3 linked regions of the Drosophila melanogaster genome follow. The protein of the gene in region 2 purifies or fractionates together with the protein of the main gene of each other region. This does not show direct contact. Each region holds a gene or a part of one and is shown on either strand. Other genes may lie near its edges.

The links. The genes of interacting proteins can lie anywhere in the genome.
Region 1: the proteins of Uggt (region 2) and Naglu purify together in Drosophila melanogaster (affinity purification with mass spectrometry, with the first as the bait; one large-scale study listed by BioGRID). This does not show direct contact.
Region 3: the proteins of Uggt (region 2) and Pngl purify together in Drosophila melanogaster (affinity purification with mass spectrometry, with the first as the bait; one large-scale study listed by BioGRID). This does not show direct contact.

What each region holds. Positions count from the first base shown.
Region 1 is NT_033779.5:8,407,771-8,413,839, forward strand, and holds Naglu (N-acetyl-alpha-glucosaminidase), read right to left. Parts: upstream 4,099-6,069; 5' UTR 3,775-4,098; coding exon 3,517-3,774; intron 3,438-3,516; coding exon 1,359-3,437; 3' UTR 1,279-1,358; downstream 1-1,278. Other genes in the region: emb (embargoed), read left to right, coding at 5-154; CG13398 (uncharacterized protein), read right to left, coding at 5,781-6,069.
Region 2 is NT_037436.4:18,871,223-18,880,301, forward strand, and holds Uggt (UDP-glucose-glycoprotein glucosyltransferase), read left to right. Parts: upstream 1-1,524; 5' UTR 1,525-1,727; coding exon 1,728-1,956; intron 1,957-2,139; coding exon 2,140-6,557; 3' UTR 6,558-7,023; downstream 7,024-9,079. Other genes in the region: Rad9, read right to left, coding at 1-631, 740-891, 946-1,172, 1,229-1,262; CG3961 (uncharacterized protein), read right to left, coding at 7,865-8,002, 8,065-8,238, 8,289-8,517, 8,580-9,079. UniProt on the Drosophila melanogaster protein: Recognizes glycoproteins with minor folding defects. Reglucosylates single N-glycans near the misfolded part of the protein, thus providing quality control for protein folding in the endoplasmic reticulum.
Region 3 is NT_033778.4:6,015,798-6,021,973, reverse strand, and holds Pngl (PNGase-like), read right to left. Parts: upstream 4,236-6,176; 5' UTR 4,142-4,235; coding exon 3,766-4,141; intron 3,711-3,765; coding exon 3,619-3,710; intron 3,557-3,618; coding exon 2,721-3,556; intron 2,666-2,720; coding exon 2,581-2,665; intron 2,522-2,580; coding exon 2,425-2,521; intron 2,369-2,424; coding exon 1,959-2,368; 3' UTR 1,279-1,958; downstream 1-1,278. Other genes in the region: Strica (Ser/Thr-rich caspase), read left to right, coding at 1-36, 92-503, 563-629. UniProt on the Drosophila melanogaster protein: Specifically deglycosylates the denatured form of N-linked glycoproteins in the cytoplasm and assists their proteasome-mediated degradation. Cleaves the beta-aspartyl-glucosamine (GlcNAc) of the glycan and the amide side chain of Asn, converting Asn to Asp.

The DNA.
Region 1 (6,069 bases), on a different chromosome or scaffold from region 2:
GCAGGAGGCCACCGGCGAGGACGATTCCGATCTGTACTTGGAAGAGCGTGAAGCGGCTCTGGCCGAGGAGCAGTCAAATAAACATCAGATGCAGCGTAATATTCCAGGAATGTTGAATCCGCACGAGTTGCCCGAGGATATGCAGGACGAATAGATGTCGATGTCGATGTCGATGTCACTGAGCTAGAATGTTTTAGTTGATGCTTGAGAATGATAAAAGGATGGTGATGTATGAGTGTTTCTCGAGCGAGAAAGTATAAATGTTTGTTTGATTGAATGCATATAAGTACGTTATATATATAAATACATCCACACAAGACCCACAACACTTGCATACACACACATACACATACACCTATACAGATATAGCTGCGTTAAAAGGTGAATGAGTAAATGGTTATTCGTGCGCAATTACATACATTAATATGATTAACATATTTTTGCGCATTGTCCTCGACATACCAGCATAAATAAGATGCCCAGCCAGTTCCCAACTCCCGCTCCCCTATCCACATTATATAGTTGTAAAACGTCATAATAATACTACACGCAACCGATACGAAAGATGCAAACTTTATTGTACTAATATAAAATAATGTTTGTTTGGAATTTTTTAAATGAGTAATTGTAGAAAGATCCGAGTATGAATGAATATTTGAACAAACACAAACACACCTCTCAGAGAAACCCACACAAAAATGAGCAAAGGAAACAAGAATATTAAGATGAAGAAAACCTTAAAGTAAAAATTTAATTGTAGTGACTTAAACAGATCAGATGCTGGCAGGAGTAAACAAAATTGTATGCAATCTTTTTGCATAAATCTAGCATTAACCCGACGTTGAAGACGATGGACGCCGCAATAAGGAGACGATCAAGAAAGCACGGCATCATAACCAGAATAGAGTTCATGCAATGTGTGAAAAAAAAAGAAAACTAAAACGCAAATACCCAAAACACAAATACATCAAGAAAAACAAAAGTAACCATAGAAATGCGTATTAAATCGTTTAAATTTTTACATAATTAGTTTGTACATTAATTTAAATAAAAATCAATTAAAACTACATTGATGTATGATGCAAAGCCACATTTAAGTTTCAATTGTAACGATTTTGATAGTAATATAGTGTACGTATCTAATCTCGTGGAATTTCGCAATTGATTGAAACATTATTGGATTGATGCCAATCAATTTTGAAAGTTTGGTGGGATATCTGTATATCTGAAATGTTTTCGTTTAATCCTTGAGCAACTAGTGTCAAAAGATTTTTATTTCGAATATTTAAAGTCAATTTTAGAGAAAAGTTTATTAAACGTTTGTTGTGGCAGTTGTATTGAACTATAGGTAGATACAATTATTTAGGTCCCGCTTTTTGAGGCACTGATAATCTGTTGTTATGTAGAAAGAGCGTGTCCTTAGAGTAGCCCTTCCAGGTTTCGAAAATGTCCTGGGAAATAAGCCAGGTGTTGCCAACTGGCGTCACGGGATAAACGTCGTCTTTGTTGCTAAAAGGCAGCTCGATTTCGTGCGAGACTTTCAGCTTGAAAGCGGTACCATTAAAGGGTCGTCCAGCATGGAGAGCCACTGTCACATCTTCCAGGAAGAGTCTCCACCGAGGCCTATAGTAGTCGCTCACCAAGCCGGACCACTGTTTGCACGCATAGTCCAGGATCTGACCATCAGGACCCCAGGCGGTAATTTGGTTTCTCGCATTGAATTCGAAGTTTCTTTGTTGCCCAGTGTTCGGTGCCGCTTGCTTGGCCTGCTGCAGCCAGTTGCCGAGCAGAAAATTCCTGCTGCTCGCCAGGATCAGCTCCATGTCATCGAACAGTTTCAACAGCTTGACGCTAAGGAATTCGAAACGCGAAACCTGTCGCTTTCTATAGGCCGACCTTAGATTGATATACAACTGATCTGCGCTGATCTGCAGGAATTGCCTGGTTATGTCCACCAAATCGTGTTCGTATATCTCGTATCTGTTATCCTCTAGCGGTATGATGGCTCTGAAGGTCAGCAACAAGTGCCAGGCATCCAGCACTGCACTTGCATTGTACCAAGTGAAGGGTTCTTGGTTGAAGGAAGGCCTGCGCGTCACTACATACTGTCCCCGCATTTTCTGCAGACCACGGAAGGAATAGACGCTATTCTTTAGGAGCAGCCACGCCTGCTCCAAACGCTCATCCTTAACGCCATACCGGCTGTGTGAGAAATTCGTAAACCAGCTATCCAGATCTAGGGATGTATTACTCCAGCCGCGCTCCAAGGTGAACGAATACATCACATAGTTCTGGCCAATGCCCTCGGGTGTGATTCCCGTGCCCACCAAACTGCTGTTGGGCAAGCGACGCGCCTCTTCTATTCCGGAATTTATCAGCTTCGCTGATCCAAACATTCCAAGTGTGCCGCCGAAATTGTGAAGCATGCACCATATAAAGGGCTGCCCAAAGTAGGAGCGCGTTAGCTCGTATTGCGGAAACTGTTCGCTCTGCAGATCGAGCACCAAAATGCGACCACGTGGTGCGGCCGTGAGGAAAGCTTCAGCCATGTCCGTGGTCCAAAAGGGATTCTTCACGAACATCCAGCCCTGAAGCAACCAAATGGCCTGAGGATCAATGCCGCGCATAGATTCATAAATCGCCGCCGCCGTTGAACGCATGTATTCCGGCTTGGCTACCGGTGGCTCCAGTTCGTTGAAGGGATCGCAGAAGAAGATGTGATTCGAACCATATTTCGTAATGATATTATGCAAAAAACGCGAGGCTATCTCCTTGAAAAGATTCTCCGTGGGTTCCACAAATAAACCGCAGCAGTATCGATCGGGGAACTGGTTCCATCGCTGCACTTCCATGAACGTCGATTCGGGATTCAGACGCTTCAGAGCACGTGGCACATGACCAGCAAAGGCGGGCAAGGCCACGCTCATGCCCAGATTGCGTTGGGCAGTGATAATCTCCTGCTGGAGGAGTAATTGATAGCGTCGCCATGCCGGTGTCAGTGGTCCCGCCCATCCCCGTATGTTGCCCATGCGCTGCCAGGCCTGAAAAGCTGGTCCAGCCAGATGCTCGTCGATTTCCTCCATCCTGAGGCCCATATCCGTGTACACCTTCACCCAAATGGCTTCCTGGACCGGCGCAATAGTCAGACTGATGCCCATCAGGGCCATCCAGTCCAGGTGACGGCGCCACTGCTCAATGCCCCACCATGCAAAGCTATAGCTCCAAGTGCACACGTTCTGGTGATAGATAATCGGGCTTGCTGACTTGGACTCGATGGTCACATTGGGCAGCTGCAAATTGGTGGGCAACTCAATGCGCATCTTGAACCAATCCACGTCCTTGTTTAAAACATATTTGAGGTAGTGATGGAGGGCCTTGCACACGGAAACACCATCCCATCCCATCAGCAGAATCCGGCCATCATCCAACATGCTAATCTGTAAGGTATTTAAAGATTGAAACATTTGTATTGTTTATTTACTTAAAAGTAAATACTTAATAAATAAATATTATTACCTGAAAGCTTCGTAAATCCATATTTTTATTGACTTGCACCTTAAACAATTGAGAAGATCGTTCGCCGATTACTCTACTGATTACCGCCATGGCTGCGGTTTCCTGGACATCTTTGGGTGTGCTGGGTGCCAAGTGGGCAGCCATTTGGAGTCCCATTTCAGGACCTGAAGCCGCATCCCAGTTAAGTTCTGATCCCTGCGCGAGTTGCAGGCAAAGCACCGCTAGCAAGGCCAAGGCCAGCTTCCAATTCAGCTGCATTTCTCCGTCCGTCTATTTACTGCCGTGTGTGTCAATGTCAACGGGGCCCAAGTGACTGACTGACTGACAGCTTCTCCTTCTCTCGCAATTGGGGCTCTCCCGAAGAATGCGGGAACGGAGGAAAGAGCGCTAAGTGAACCCGATGAGAACACAATGGAAGAGAAGAGCAGCTGGATTCCGATCACTTTCTTCTTATCGCCAGATTGAACAATGACGCAGTAGAGTTCTGAAATGCGAGGGATCATCGGATACACTCACTAAGAGTATATTACAACTTTGATAAGAAGTTTGTAGATCAATTTTTCCCTTATTGAGTTTTAAAAATAATATTAAGTTCTGATTTAAAATTAATTGGTAAGCAATGAAAAGGTAAAAAATATATTATCAACTAAAATAATTGTTTGATATTTATGCAACAAAAAACAAAGAACGTCAGATTTTGGAAACTATACAATTTAGAATGGTATTTAAATGTTGGTCTTCGTCGATATCCTTATATTGTAATCCGTGTTATAATGCATTTGTTAAGAAATTAACTGAAAATCGCAAGGCAAATCCATATATCTCGGAAAATATCAAAAAATATATAGTATATATACAGGGTCATTTGAGCTTTATTGCACGTATTTCGTCTTAGACACTAACAATAATTTAGTTTATGCCGCCGACTAAGCAGCGATTTTAAGTACATGTAAACGAAAGAACATTCATTTCTTCTCGTTCGTGTGAAACGATGAATGCTCAGTGTATATAACTCCTAACAAATTGAATAACAATTCAGCGATATATATATGTAAAAAATTATAAACTCACAGCGGACAATGCAACGCGATGCTTTCTACCATTGTTTTTTTTTTTTTTTTTTTGTTTGGCAACAGAATACAATTTCAAAGCCTTGGCCAACAACAAACGTACGTGTACGTCGATGATGTATCTTCTGGTGCTTATGAGCTACTCTTACCATATCTACCATGTACAATTTTAATGTTAAAAGCCTTTCGTGTTGCTCACTATTTTATATGCACAAAATCAAAAATGACTAGCTCTAAACAGCCGCTGGCAATTACACAAATCAACTAATCGCTAAGTAATGCTATTGTTAATATCCTTAAATACAAGTTATGTACGTATGCAATTCATGTCTATGTGTTTTGGTTTTTTGGCTGTGTGAGTTTACTGTACTGACTACAAAAAACAACCTGGTTATAATATTGTTAATCGTTTGCGTTTTAGCTTGGCGCAGTTGGAAGCAAACATATCTTTGGACAAATCACTCTTCAAATTTCACTTTACCACAATCTCGTGCAGTAAATTCGTTGTGCAACACGTTCTTTTCAACCTCCATAGCTTTTTACTCCCCAATCCGAGAGAGATCCATTTCAATTTTATCATATTCCCTTGAAAATCCATTGAAAATAGTAGGAAAGTTACTTAGCTCCTTCTTAAGTATGCTTTTCAAAATCAAAAGTAACAGCATCACGAAAATTTGTGGGCAAAAAAGTTAAAACGTCATTTGGAAACATTAAAATATTGTATGCTGTATCAATAAAATCCTGTTTGATCCCATGTGTGGTTAATTTTAGTAGTTAATCTCGATATTTTTTAACAAGCTATCCATTTGATCTGCTCAACTTTTAAGTTGCACAGCATGTGTTTTTATACGCTTTCATCTTCATAGTTGGTCAGTTGGTCACTTTAGTTGGTTTACTTTAAATCGAGCATTTAACAATTAGGACCTAACAAATCTTGTGGCCACTGTTCTTTTACTTTTGTACTCTTTCCGATCTGGCTGTTTTTCCTTTCTTCGTGATCTGTTGTCCTCTTTACTTCCCGGCATTATGATTTTTCTTTCAAAAGCTCCTTACATCTTTTTGGTACTCAGATTTGGCACAAATAAATGTGGGGTTAGATCCATTTCGCCAGCGATCTGGTGTCCATTATGCTTTCTGTAAATTCGTTGTGCACTCGCGGTCTCCTCCACCAATCCTATTCCTGCTGCCTCCAATTCACTCACTTATGGAGTAAGCCTTTCGTATGCACTTGCTGTGCCTGGTGATTCTCAGCTCCTCGGCATCGTGCGACGAATGCTGTCGATGCGTCACTGTTTCTGGCAGTTCAGTCGAAGACTTGTTCAACGCGTATGTGCGGATGAAGTCGATGGTTGAATAGCCTTGTGTCCCGGAGCATTCTGTTACCTTCTTCGCCTGCGTATCTCCCGTATCAGCAGAGATGCTATTCAGGCTTTGGGTCTGCATGGGCGGTGGGGGAACGTCCAACGTAGTACCTGCCTCTGGA
Region 2 (9,079 bases):
GGCTAGGATGCGAGGGTGCTGAACAGATGGCGCCTCCGAGTCCCGGAACTGAAACAGTGGATTATCTAGGCTCGATTCTAATTGGGTCTCCTCAACTCGCCGTTTTGGCTGCACTGCAGCCGGTTCCGAAGAGCTGCCTTTGCGTTTGTTGGTCACATTCGGCTTCGAAACGCTGCTCTTTCGCTTTGCGGCCGCCGCTCGTACATCCTCATCCTGCACTGTCAGATCCTTTTGACAATAATCTTCCGAGAAGCTTATATCATCGGGGGATAGCGTGGACATGATCAGCAAGCATTCAATCTCGCCATGCTTCTTAATTTTGAGCAGGAAAGGCATGCCCGCTTCGTCGAACTCCAGGGTCAGCGAAGCATTTAAGCACTCGGCGAAGAGGAGAAATGCTCGGAATTCCTTAATGCAGAATGTAATGACCGTCTCCTTCGTTACCTGGTACTGCTCAAATTCACTGGGCTTAAGTTTCAGCTGCGTGCGCATGAACTTATCATTAACTCGGGCTCCTTCTATGTAGTTTTTGGCCACCACACTGCCCGAGTTTGCCTCCAAAGTAAGTTCCTCCTCTGAGGAGTTAAAGTTATTGGATATATCCGTCAACAGCTTGTGATCGCCACGGATTCTGAAATGTTGAGTAGTAAATTCGGATTTATATGGGCATAGTTGTTTTAAGAGAAATAAGGTAAGGAGATAAACTTAATAGTTATCCTTAACACAAACCAAAACTCACATATTCGGCATCTGATCGGTGTTAATGTTTGTGTTAATGTTTTGGTCGTCTATGATGGAAATGGTGGCCTCCTTTGTGGTCTCCAGCTTACAGCGGAGATTCACCTGCAGGTTGGTCTGGTTGTCCAGCAAGTTGAGTTCACAGTACTCCACCTGGAACATAATATTCTTAACAACTAATCCCAGTGAGCAGACTTTCGAACTTACCTCATTCATGTTGCGGAACACGGCCAAACATCCCTTCATGGAGATCTTGCAGTAGAAATCTGAGTGCGGCGGCATGTCATACACTTCGAACATGGATCTTTTGAACGATATGCTGCCCACTGCGGATTGGGTGGCATTTATGGCCCGCATCTGCAAGGATTGCTGGTCGATCTCGATGAACATCTCCTTGCCCACCTTGGACAGCGATTGTACGGCTTTGGCGATGACTTAAAAAATGAATTCTTTTAGTTATCAATATATTTTGCTGTTTATTATGTGGTACCTCTTGCATTGCTGCCCTCTAAAGTGTATTTCATTGGCAATATTTGCACTATGTTTTTGGTCGCGAAATTCGCGCTGAAATTTGTAAACAAACAAATTAGAGTGATAGTAGTCGCACAACAGGTATGAAAAATACCAACAAAGGAATTTAGTTACCCATTTATGCATTTTGAAGTAAGTATGTACTATTTTTATATTTCAATAATTTCTTTTATAATTTAAAGCAAAATATTTCCATATTGACAATTGTCCGTAAAATAAATAAATTTAAATAAGTTCTTCAACCCGATGTAGTTCCAATGTAGTCTGGTCACACTGCGGCATGCCGGTTCATCAACGAACGCCACATCAGTTCTAAATCAAATTAAGAAAAACTGGGCTAAAACCAGCCGAAAACTGGTGAAAAGTAAAATATTTGGAGAAGGAAAGCCTTAAGTTCCTCTCTACGCTTAGTATACGTAATGTGCGTGGTTTAATCTACGTTAAAACAAGTGGAAACCATGTTACGTGCCGTGGCTTTGTGTGTGTCTGTGGTGCTCATAGCACTATATACGCCAACTTCTGGGGAATCCAGTCAGAGCTATCCCATCACCACGCTAATCAACGCGAAATGGACGCAGACGCCCCTATATCTGGAAATCGCCGAGTATCTGGCCGATGAGCAGGCGGGCCTCTTCTGGGATTACGTTTCGGGGGTGACCAAGTTGGACACGGTTCTCAACGAATATGGTTTGTGTTTATAAGTCATGGAGAACCCGCATTAAAGAGCTTTTATATTCTCCTCAATGTGAATCGAATCCATATAAAATCAAGTAATGGTTCGGAATATAAAATCACCTATTCCCAAAGCCCTATAATGTGATCTTTTCCCAAAGGGTAATTTATTTTTCTGATTACGTTTTCGCTTTTCAGATACCGAGTCGCAACAGTACAATGCCGCCTTGGAGCTGGTCAAGAGCCATGTGAGTTCTCCCCAATTGCCCCTGCTTAGGCTGGTGGTATCCATGCATAGCTTGACGCCCCGGATCCAGACCCACTTCCAGTTGGCCGAGGAACTGAGGAGCAGTGGCTCTTGTCAGAGCTTTACTTTTGCCCAGGTGGGTTCCGAACTGGCCTGCAGCTTTAACGAGCTGCAGAAGAAGCTGGAAGTGCCGCTCGCCAAGGATAGCTTGGATGCTTCTGTTGTCACCTACAGCTTTGATCACATTTTCCCTGGCAGTGAGAACAATACCCGCACTGTGGTACTATACGGCGATTTGGGAAGCTCTCAATTCCGCACCTATCACAAACTATTGGAAAAGGAAGCCAATGCTGGCCGGATTCGTTACATCTTGCGTCATCAATTGGCCAAGAAGGACAAGCGACCGGTACGACTTTCGGGCTATGGAGTGGAACTCCATCTGAAGTCAACGGAATACAAGAGTCAGGATGATGCTCCAAAGCCCGAAGCTGGTTCCACTTCTGATGAGGATTTGGCTAATGAATCGGACGTCCAGGGCTTTGATTTCAAGGTGCTGAAGCAGAAGCATCCTACACTTAAGAGAGCGCTGGATCAACTGCGTCAGAGGCTTCTTCAGGGAAACGATGAGATCGCCCAATTGAAAGCATGGGAGTTCCAGGATTTGGGTCTCCAGGCGGCCGCTGCTATTGCAGAAATACAGGGTGATGAAACCCTACAAATTCTTCAATATACTGCCCATAATTTCCCCATGTTGGCCAGAACCCTGCTGGCCCACAAGGTTACGGATGGCTTAAGGGCGGAGGTAAAGCATAATACGGAAGCATTTGGAAGAAGCTTGAATGTAGCGCCTCCAGATGGTGCCCTTTTCATCAATGGACTCTTCTTCGATGCTGACACAATGGATCTGTATTCCCTGATTGAGACGCTGCGCTCGGAGATGCGTGTTCTCGAGAGTCTGCACAGTAATAATGTGAGGGGAAGCCTTGCCAGCTCCTTGCTCGCCTTGGATCTGACGGCCTCCAGCAAAAAAGAATTCGCCATCGACATCCGTGACACTGCAGTACAGTGGGTCAACGATATTGAAAACGATGTGCAGTACCGCAGGTGGCCCTCATCGGTGATGGATCTTTTGCGTCCAACCTTTCCTGGCATGTTAAGGAATATCCGAAAGAATGTGTTCAATTTGGTCCTAGTGGTAGACGCGCTGCAGCCCACAGCTAGAAGTGTTATTAAACTGTCAGAGTCGTTTGTCATCCATCAAGCTCCCATTCGCTTGGGTTTGGTTTTCGATGCGAGGGACGCCAACGAGGATAATCTTGCAGATTACGTAGCCATCACGTGCGCCTATAACTATGTGAGTCAGAAAAAGGATGCCCGAGCTGCTTTAAGTTTCCTCACCGACATCTACGCAGCAGTTGGTGAGACCAAAGTGGTCACGAAAAAAGACATAGTCAAGCAACTAACGAAGGAATTTACATCATTAAGCTTTGCCAAAGCGGAGGAGTTCCTGGAGGAAGATTCCACGTACGACTATGGCAGGGAGCTCGCAGCAGAGTTCATTCAGCGGCTGGGATTCGGAGACAAGGGACAACCTCAGGCCTTGTTGAATGGTGTTCCAATGCCCAGCAACGTTGTGACCGCCGATAGCGACTTCGAGGAGGCTATTTTCACCGAGATTATGACCCACACCAGCAATCTCCAAAAGGCTGTGTACAAAGGTGAACTGACAGACAACGATGTAGCCATTGATTATCTGATGAATCAACCTCACGTGATGCCCAGATTGAATCAGCGAATCCTAAGCCAGGAGGATGTGAAATATCTTGATATTAACGGCGTGGCCTACAAAAATCTTGGCAATGTTGGAGTTTTAAATCGTCTGTCTAACCGGGATATGACCGCTACGCTAATGGATAATCTTAAATACTTTGGTGGCAAGAAGTCTACGGAGCTTATTGGCCGAGCATCCCTACAGTTCCTAACGATTTGGGTGTTTGCTGATTTGGAAACTGACCAGGGTCGAGATCTGCTCACCCATGCCCTGGACTATGTCCAAAGTGGAGAGAGTGTGCGAGTCGCATTCATTCCAAACACTGAAAGCTCTTCCGCCTCAAGCCGGAGGAATCTTAATCGATTGGTTTGGGCTGCCATGCAGAGTCTTCCACCAACTCAAGCCACGGAGCAGGTTCTCAAGTGGCTAAAGAAACCAAAGGAGAAAATTGAGATACCCACTCAGCTCGAGGATATCCTGGGATCTACAGAGCTGCACCTGAAGATGTTGAGAGTTTATTCCCAGCGAGTGTTGGGTCTAAATAAATCCCAGCGTTTGGTCATCGGTAATGGGCGGCTTTATGGGCCCCTTTCGTCGGATGAAAGCTTTGATAGCGCCGATTTCGCTTTGCTAGCCAGGTTCAGTTCTCTACAGTATAGCGATAAGGTGCGTCAGGTCCTGAAGGAATCTGCTCAAGATGTCAATGAGGAATTCAACAGCGATACATTGCTTAAGTTGTATGCCAGCCTGCTTCCCAGGCAAACCAAAACTCGCTTTAAGCTACCAACGGACTTAAAAACCGATCACTCGGTTGTAAAACTACCGCCCAAACAGGAGAATCTTCCCCATTTTGATGTTGCCGCCGTTTTGGATCCCGCCTCCCGAGCAGCTCAAAAACTAACGCCAATACTTATTTTGCTTCGTCAAGTGCTGAACTGCCAATTGAACTTATACCTGATTCCCGTCCCCCAGCACAGCGATATGCCCGTGAAGAACTTCTACAGATACGTTGTGGAACCGGAGGTCCAATTCGAGGCGAATGGAGGCCGATCTGATGGTCCTTTGGCCAAATTCAGTGGATTGCCAGCCAATCCTCTGCTGACCCAGCAGCTGCAGGTTCCCGAGAACTGGTTGGTCGAAGCTGTGAGAGCAGTTTACGATCTGGACAACATTAAGTTGACCGATATTGGTGGACCTGTGCACAGCGAATTCGATCTGGAGTATCTGCTGTTGGAGGGTCACTGCTTTGATGCTGCTAGCGGCGCTCCGCCCAGAGGACTTCAGTTGGTGTTGGGTACCCAGAGTCAACCTACCTTGGTAGATACTATTGTGATGGCGAATTTGGGTTATTTCCAACTTAAAGCCAATCCAGGAGCTTGGTCCCTACGCTTGCGTGAAGGCAAATCGGCGGATATTTATGCAATCAGCCACATTGAAGGAACAAATACCCATCATTCGGCTGGCTCTTCTGAAGTTCAGGTTCTTATAACCTCCTTGCGATCCCATGTTGTCAAATTAAGGGTGTCTAAGAAGCCAGGCATGCAGCAGGCGGAACTCCTGTCAGATGACAACGAACAGGCAGCGCAATCAGGCATGTGGAACAGCATCGCCAGCAGTTTTGGCGGCGGCAGTGCCAACCAAGCAGCCACTGATGAGGATACGGAAACCATCAACATTTTCTCTGTGGCATCGGGACACTTGTACGAACGTCTTCTAAGGATCATGATGGTTTCGCTGCTAAAGCACACAAAATCACCTGTGAAGTTCTGGTTCTTGAAGAACTATCTTTCGCCGCAATTTACGGATTTCCTTCCTCACATGGCCAGTGAGTACAACTTCCAGTACGAATTGGTCCAGTACAAATGGCCCCGCTGGCTGCATCAGCAAACGGAAAAACAGAGGACCATTTGGGGCTACAAGATCCTTTTCCTGGACGTGCTCTTCCCGCTGAATGTGAGGAAAATCATTTTCGTGGATGCCGATGCCATCGTAAGAACGGATATAAAGGAGTTGTATGACATGGACCTCGGAGGAGCACCCTATGCCTACACGCCATTCTGCGATTCCCGCAAAGAGATGGAGGGCTTCCGATTCTGGAAGCAGGGATACTGGCGAAGCCATCTGATGGGCAGGCGTTACCACATTTCCGCCTTGTACGTGGTGGACTTGAAGAGATTCCGCAAGATTGCGGCAGGAGATAGGCTAAGAGGCCAATACCAGGCACTTAGCCAGGATCCGAACAGCTTATCCAATTTGGATCAGGACTTGCCCAACAACATGATCCACCAGGTCGCCATCAAATCCCTGCCCGACGACTGGCTATGGTGCCAAACGTGGTGCAGCGACAGCAACTTCAAGACTGCTAAAGTGATTGATTTGTGCAACAACCCGCAGACCAAGGAGGCCAAACTCACGGCCGCCCAGAGGATTGTGCCCGAATGGAAGGACTACGATGCCGAGCTGAAGACCCTGATGTCTCGCATCGAGGATCATGAGAATTCGCATAGCAGGGACTCGGCAGTTGATGATTCGGTTGACGATTCGGTGGAGGTCACCACTGTGACGCCTTCTCATGAGCCCAAGCACGGCGAGCTGTGATGAACGCGTAGTTAAATCAACATGTTTAGTGAATTTAAATATCGATGGATAAACACTTGATTACTTAGCTAAGAGCCATCTCCGAAATAACGACTAAACACATTTGTACATTTTAATTAGAACATAATGCGATTGATAACGTAAACCCAACTCAAAAAGAAAACAGCTCACTAAAGTCTGAATTGTGTTTTGTAACTCGATTTCGAACGATTTTCTTGTCTTGCATTCCAAGAGCTACTAATTAAGTTAAGCCGAAATTAAATGTCATCATACTAAATACGCGCCTTTAAGTTGAAGATTGTCAAATGTATTAAAAGTTGGAGTAAATAGTAATTAATTCAGCGTATTTTATTAACCATTTATTTGGGATGGTCAGGCCACTTTACCCCCTCGAAAAGCTTTGGTGACTGCGTATGTGCGTTAGGTGGCAACGCCAAATTCAAATAAAGTTTTCAAAAATCTCAGTATTTCAATTTGTATTTTTGTTGGTTTTATTTCATATTATTTTGAGTTAACTTGCTTTCGTATCTACATAAAGAATCTATTTAATAAATTTAATACAATGCTGCTTTACTTTATTGTTTAGCTCTTAATATGAAATAGTTCATTATTTTAGCAATTTATTAATAAATTTTCATTTGGTATTTAGTAAGGCAGACAGTGCAGTCCAAAGACGTTGATCTTTTCCATATTTATTATTAGGTTTGATCTGCTTCTCGATTGGCGTTCATTTGTAAGTTAAAAGTAATTCCTCAGCATTTGCGATGAACATTTCATTCCCATTAATTTAGTTTTAGCGTATCTAATATATAGTTAAAAATTTGATTCTTCACTTTAGTTTCCATCTAGCGCTGAGTGTAGTATACAATAGTTAATTAAAGCTTTCTTTTTATTCAATTTGCTCAATATGTTATTATATATGTTTTGGTTCAGACTACGCAATTGTTTTCTATCCACTTTTGAACTAGCTCATAAGTGTTTAAAGGGAAATATATAGTTAATATATTAATTAAGGTTCGCTTCTCGGTTAAATTATATAAAAAAATGCGGCTGCCAAAAGGATTCTCCTTGTCAGTTTGAAGTTGTGTATATTTTATGTGTATTGTATCTGTATCTGGTGTATCTTGCGCTCCTCTTACGTGCTAAGAATTGACGATACTACAAAATTAGACAGTTCGCTTTCGTATCTGTATCTGTAGTCTTTGTTATCATCAGTTTAAAATGGTATAGGCATATTTGAATGAATGCTTCCCAGTTTCTTGAGTTCGATTCGTTGTTGATGTCTATGTATGCATATAGGCATTGCTTTAATCCAGGTGTTTATACATATCCTCCAGCTGGGGCTTAAAATAGCTCTTAAGCTGCGGTCTCTTGGCTTTGAATGTGGGCGTCAGCAGTCCGTTTTGCACCGAGAAGGGATCCGGATGCAGATAGATATCTTTAACCTAAAATTAAATATCCCGGATATTATCTCGAAACCTATAGGTATGCTGATTCAAAAGCTCACCTGTTCGAATGACTTGAGTCCACTCTGCTTGCCCCAGTTGAGCATGTCGTTCATGATCAGTTCCTTGACATTCTTATTATTGCACAGGACGGAGAGTGTGCCGCGTACATTGTTCTCCGTGGCCCATTGCTTCAGTACATCGGTATCAGGTACAACAACAGCGATAATGCAGCTCTGAAAGAATTTGGTAAATATGTACATATATAATACAATTTCGGTCTTACCTTTAAGCTCTCTCCATAGACATAAACTTGATTTACGTATTGACTGAGCGTGTAGATATTCTCGATCTTCTCGGGCACTATGTACTCGCCCTGGCTAAGCTTGAAGATGTGCTTGCGGCGATCGATGATCCGTAGTGTTCCATTTGGCAGCCACATGCCCACATCGCCCGTATGATGCCAGCCCTCCGAATCGATGGCCTCCGCCGTCTTTTCGGGATCCTTATAGTAACTATTCACACAACAATTCAATGGATTAAACAAAAGTGGAATATTCATATTAGCTTTACCTACCCATGGAACACATTCGATCCGCGCACACACACCTCGCCAGTATTTTGATTGGCAAAGTACTCCATCTCCGGCACATCCACCAGTTTCACAGCATTGCAGGACACGGGTGGTCCCACATGGTTGGGCACATGATCTCCCTGAACGGTAAGGGTAATGGCCCCCGTGCACTCCGTTTGGCCATATCCCTCGAGAACCAGGCAGCCCAGAGCACAGCGCATGAAGGTCAGGACATTTCCGGCCAATGGGGCGGAGCCCACGACCATTAAACGAAGATTTCCGCCAAAGGCCTGATGCACCTTCTTGAAGACCAACTTGTCCCAGCAGCCGTTCCTCCGCAGGACACCCCTGGCGATCTCCTTCTCCTTCGCTCGCATAGCCATATTGAAGAGACCCCTCTTCAGTCCAGACGCTGAGATATCATTCTGAATCTTGTCGTAGACGCGGTTCAAAAGACGAGGCACTGCCGGCATTACGGTTGGTTTCAGCATCTTGAGGTCATT
Region 3 (6,176 bases), on a different chromosome or scaffold from region 2:
CAACCCTGGTCACCATTAAAAAAACAGTGCGAATGTGTAAGAGGAGAAGTGTAGTTTCTCGGCTTAATCAATTAATTTTTAAATTTTGCAGTGCAAACCAAGGACTTTGAGGACAAAAGCGCTCTGGTCCTCGTGATCCTCAGTCATGGAACGCGCCACGACCAGATCGCAGCAAAGGATGACGACTACTCCCTGGACGACGACGTTGTTTTTCCCATTTTGCGCAATAGGACGCTTAAGGACAAGCCCAAGCTGATTTTCGTTCAGGCCTGCAAGGGCGACTGCCAACTAGGGGGCTTTATGACCGATGCCGCGCAGCCCAATGGGTCTCCAAATGAAATCCTCAAGTGCTATAGCACGTACGAGGGATTTGTATCTTTTCGCACGGAGGACGGAACTCCTTTTATTCAGACACTGTGTGAAGCTCTTAATCGATCGGGGAAGACTTCAGACATCGACACCATAATGATGAATGTGCGTCAAGTGGTTAAAATGCAATCCAAGTAAGAAACTCCACGTGTTTATATATGACCCCATAAATAATTATTAAACTTTATTTTAGAGACCGCCAAATTCCATCTGTCACTAGCACTCTTACCTCTAAGTACGTTTTTGGAGATTATATTTGACCATAGATCTTAAATCTAAGACACGCCATTAAATATCAAAATTAATATATATGTAAATAGCACATGGATAGATGTATGTACATAGTATATAGCACATAGCGTCTGGTCCACGTAGTGACGAAGCGTACCAGAAGAAGGTGATATATACGAAGAAATGAAAATTTGCGATGGTTGTCCGATCTTAGCTTAATATAACAATCGAGAGGTAGCTCACAAACTAAAGAGGCGGTAAAAGTGTGAGGCTAAATATTAAAAAAAAATTAGTCTGGGGTCGGAATTGTTAAAGGAAAACTATTTTCGGTAACCAGAACCTGAAAATATGAAAAACTTTTTTTTATTTTGGTCGATTTTTTAAGAACGGTCATCGCATGTAAAATGTTAAACCGTGTGCCCTTGAAATTTTTTAACTTTTATTGTACTAAAAATTAACGTTTTAATGTTATTATAAAATAAAAACAGTTATTTTTTCTCAATACCAATATAATGACCCATTCTTACCAATAAATTAGGTATGACCGTTTGCTAACTCTAATTTAGTGTAATGGTACCAATGATAAATGCCATACAGCTAAAAGAATATATGTAACATTAGTTTTGTATATATGTATATTCTACACAAAAATGTTTTGATGTTTCAACCAAATTTTAAGATTCATATATATATGCGCATTTTGTTGTAGATGATTAGCGAAAAACATGTTTCGAAAAATTTTAATATACCGATATTCATAAAGGGCAGGCAATAATCGAATGACTTTTTGGTGATGTAAAATGGCAAAATCACTGCGCGGTTCTCTGAAAATCGCTGAATACCTACATATGATATCTATTTGTATACCCGTTAGTTGTAAGCAAAATATACAAAGTATATGAATTCTTTATCAGGATCACTAGCCGAGTCGATCTAGTCTTTTTAATTGTCTTGCCTTTTTTCATCTATATATGTAAATCTTGAAAAATCGTCCCAGCAATTGTGACCAATAAAATTATTTATTGCTTTGATTCCGGATGAAATAAATATTGACATATAGAAGAAAATAAAGTTTAAATGTCGTTTCTAAATTTGTCATTCATATTTTAATTAACTGCAACCCAAATCTAAGAACCTTATATTTTGTATTAACTGTTTCCATGCGCTTGTTCTATATATATAGAAATTTCATAAAAGTTAGTCCTTAAAACTTCAAGTATAATTACATATAGCGACACTATGTGCCTTTATTTAATTTTTAATATACATTTTTGATTATTATATTTTCATCCAGACTGGGAATCGTTTATATTATTTACAATTACATTTTAATTTCTCCAAAATATTTTTTGAGGACTTCAATGTAGTTGCACTTGCAGATCGAAGGGATAGTCTCTTGAATTAAGACTCTGCCTGAACAGTTGTGTGTGTTGCCATGCTACATCGCCCTTGCCACCCGTAAGTTTGGCCACTATTTTGAATCCAGTGGCATTTTCAACCGAAGCGCTTCCGTCGGTGGCATCGACAGTCACGCTGATTTTTCCGTCGCCAAAAGTTTTTGTCTCGAAAACTAAGTTGTAAGACTTAACCTTTAAATTGGTCTTGCTGAAATCAAACGTCCAGGCAATTTCTCCGCAATCGGTATCCTCCAGTCTAGCCAAATATGCCATTTTCCAATCGCGTTCCACTTTCCGAAATATGTTCTTTGAGGAAAATTGCGCTTTTTGCCATGTCTTATAGCTATCCAAAATAGTGATGTGTTCTCCTTCTATGGATATAAAAGTTAAAAGCATTCATAGTGCTGTAAATAAATTCATGACTCGCCTTTGGCATATCGTTCGTATGTATCGGTGGCACAGCTGTAACGCACATTAAGTTGCCTTTTTTGTAGTTCGGTTGCACTTAGATTGAAAACGAATATCTGTAAATACATGAAAGGTGACAAACGGCCGGCAGCGCGTCTCAGGCCAGATCACTTACATTGGTAAAAGTATGCTCTCCACGTGACTGCCGCCAAGAAAGACTTCCCGAACTCCGACCCTTCAGCTCGTTTTCTGTCGGCTTACTAAACAGGAAACGGGATTAAATTTAATTTCGAACAGTTTCCTGTAAATGCTTACCGCTCTAGCGTCAAGCCGATGACCTCGTACATATTGCGCTGGCTGAGGAATAACTTTCGATCGGCGGTGCAATTTTGCCGCCGCTTTGCTCGAATCGCGTCCAGCGTTTGCACCATTTCTTTTTCCCCGCACAGCTTTCGTAGGTGTAGAATCTTCTGGTGGTCATTAGTATAGCGCCAAGTCACATCTTGGATGTCGTCCCTAGAGTATGCAAGAATGTAGTCGATGTGACGTTTCCAGCCATGCTGATACATCAGCGGAGAATCTATAACGTTCTCGGAGGGGTCAACATGGAGCCAACGCATCTGGGCCTCGGAGTACACCTCGGTCCAGACGTGATCAAAATGCGAGTGGACAATACGGGCGTCGTAGTCGAGGGCGCGACAGAGGAATGTGAAGCAATTGGCATATTCTCCGCAACGGCCCTTACGGGAAACTAGGAGCTGGGAAATGTCGTTATAGCGGTAGAACTTGCTCTCCTGGCCGCAGCAAACGGTGACTTCCACCCTTATATCACCTTCCCGTTCAGTGCGGCGCAGCCTGCTCTCTTCACTCCCACACACGCGGCAAGGTATATTGTTTACCCACTGGAAGAACTGCGTGTTGAACCAGTTTACCAGCTCCACAAGCAGCAAGTCGCGAACACATGGCTCCTTCTCCTGGCGCTCACCCGACGCAATTTGATCTTGGATGTCTATCAGTTTCTCGCTTGCCATTTCGGTGAGCTCTTCCACAGGAATCAGAGTGCGGCCAGTAGCCAGCAGCAGGTTATCCTCGTACTGCATGACTGCATCGGAATAAAGCTCTAGCGACTGCAGAAAGTTATTATTGGTGCGCTGAAAACAAGCTTCCACATCAGAATACAGCAGAGGTCTATCTTGTTCGATGGCTGGCTTACCAATACACGGGGGAAGGCGATTCTATGGCGATATTCCACAGAAGGCTTGATGAACAAGGGCGTGGTGCTGGTGGTGCTTTGTTGAGGAGGACCTATTAAAATCCGAGACATGATGATTAGGATGTCAGTCTTGCCCCCAAAGCTTACTTTTTGACACTGTGCCGTTAAGCCAGGCAGTGCGTCTCTCGCTCAGCGCATCTCTGTACTTCTTCACCTGCTGCAGTGACACCTCTGTGGGCAAGGTGTAGGCGTTGGAACTGGGGGCGCGTACGAAGCCTATGGCTTCCAGTAACCTCTCACAGCCGGGCAAGGACAGCAGCTTTTCTTTAATAGCTTTGTTTTCCTGCCGTATGGTGCGGAACATGGAGTTCTCCGGCTGCGCCAAGATGTTCTCCAGCAGCACTAACAGAATGCGGACCGCTTCCAGGTAGGCTTCCTTTAACCCTCGCTCCTGCTGCTGCTGACCAGCAGAACGGGTCTTCGGTTCGATCTGGTGCACGCACTCCAAGTTTATGTCCACCATGTTGATGACCAGCTGCCACTATCAGATTGGTTTCGTCGTTAGTAGGGGTGGCCGGCGGATGACAATCATGCAGACACAAAGGGTTATGGTGTTGGAAAACGCGATTAGTTTAGCGAACTTCAAGCGATAACAAAAGAGGTGTTTTTTAGGTTTTTTTTTGTTGAATGAAGCCAGCCGGATTCCACTAGCGTACATGTTCTTTTCCTGTGGGGATGCACAACAAATTTATGCACGAAAAATAGAGCTTGGATCTCCTTTTTATAGACATTTTAAAAAAGGTAAGAAATCTCTAAATTTCAACAATTGCTTTAAATAGGAAATAAGTTACTTAGAAATATTAAGTTATCACGTGTTGAAATTATAAAAATTACTCAATAATCTTTTGCTTAAAAAAACGGATTAAAAATACACAAAGCATTCAATTACCATTTTTAGTTAGTAGCGATCGAAGAATGTTTTGATTTGGAACTCCCAATATTTATTAGGTCTTGGAAGTATATAAATTATATATTAAATACATAATGTAATAGAAAAATAAAAAAAAATTTTTAGGAATCCACTTAGGACTAAGGGTGTTCTAAAATGGACGGTTCATGTTTCAAATTAAGTTTACATTGTTGTTGCTCAAAGAGAAAGCTTATGAGAGCAAGGATCCTGGAAAATTGATAAAGTAATTATGCACAGCTCTCCGAAAATTCGCCTTACAGTAGGAACAGCTCAAAGGGACTTGAAAATACTGCCAGCTCCAGCACTCGCACCAAGCAAATTAGTGACATGAACCGATGTACAACAACATACCAATGTTAACTTGCTAAATGTGTTACACCATTTACAGATCGTTTTTCATGTGGCAAGATATTTCAATATTTTTTAACGCTATTTGTTATCTTTATGAATAACGCTTGCTACTTCTTAGTCTGAATAATATTCGGCTTATAAAGATTTCAGGGATTCTGTAATGGATACGTTCGAACTTATTTCATTAAATTAGAGATAAACAATTATGTTATTGTAAAAAATATCAATTGAAATCATGCGAAAAAAAAACTTATTCTCAGAGGAGAATGCTAAAGACAATGTATAATGGATATTAGATATCCAATTACTGGATATTCGCTTTATTCAGTTTTAGCAACCAATTCTGAAGCGTACATGTGGAATAAAGATTAAAAAAATTATATTCCTGCAAAATATTTAGATGAATACATTGCATATATTGGAAATCGAAAACAAGTTCATTTTAAAATTGTGGGCTTGCCAGTTTTTTGTGGCTTGTGGACGTTAGAGTGAAAGTGGCGTAGTTATACAATAAAACAAACTTGCCCGAAGTAGGCGTCACTAGAATTTGCATGATTAGTTTTAACATCCTACCAATATAGTTCCAGAGACTTTGATGTCTATGCTAACATTAGTACATCGCCAGGTCGCCTCGGCTAGAGATGTTGATCAAGAGCGAATTCCCTATTGGGAATGTTGTTTGTATCTGTTTCTGTCCAACATTAGAAAATATTCTCAGCTGCAAGGCACATACGTACGCAAGGTACATACGCAAATTATAAAAATAACCTAAGTATTTTATATATATATATTTGTTAAAATCCAACTAAATTCATGTCCTTTTAATATAAAAGTTATTTAAGGCTGATTTCATGTCACACAACACTTTTTGAAATATGTTCTGAAATTGCAACTTCCTGGAAAACTCTACATAGCTTAATGCAAAAGCTTTCACAGCTAGTTAATGAAATTAAAAACAAAAGGTTGAGATACCGGGCCACTTGGCAAAACGCTCTGTAAACGGTGTAATACATTCTGAAAGTTAGCGTCGAAATGATAGTGCTATACATCGGTTCATAACATGGATTTCCCTGTGGTGCAGGTACAGCATTTGGCGGTATTTTCAAAACCCTTTTGGTCGAATTTTGAGAACACTGCATAATTTTTAAATGCATTTTCAAGGATTCTTAGATCATTTCTAATTTGTTGATAACACGTCAGTATACCAATGAATAAAAAATTTTAAAAAAAGTCCGCT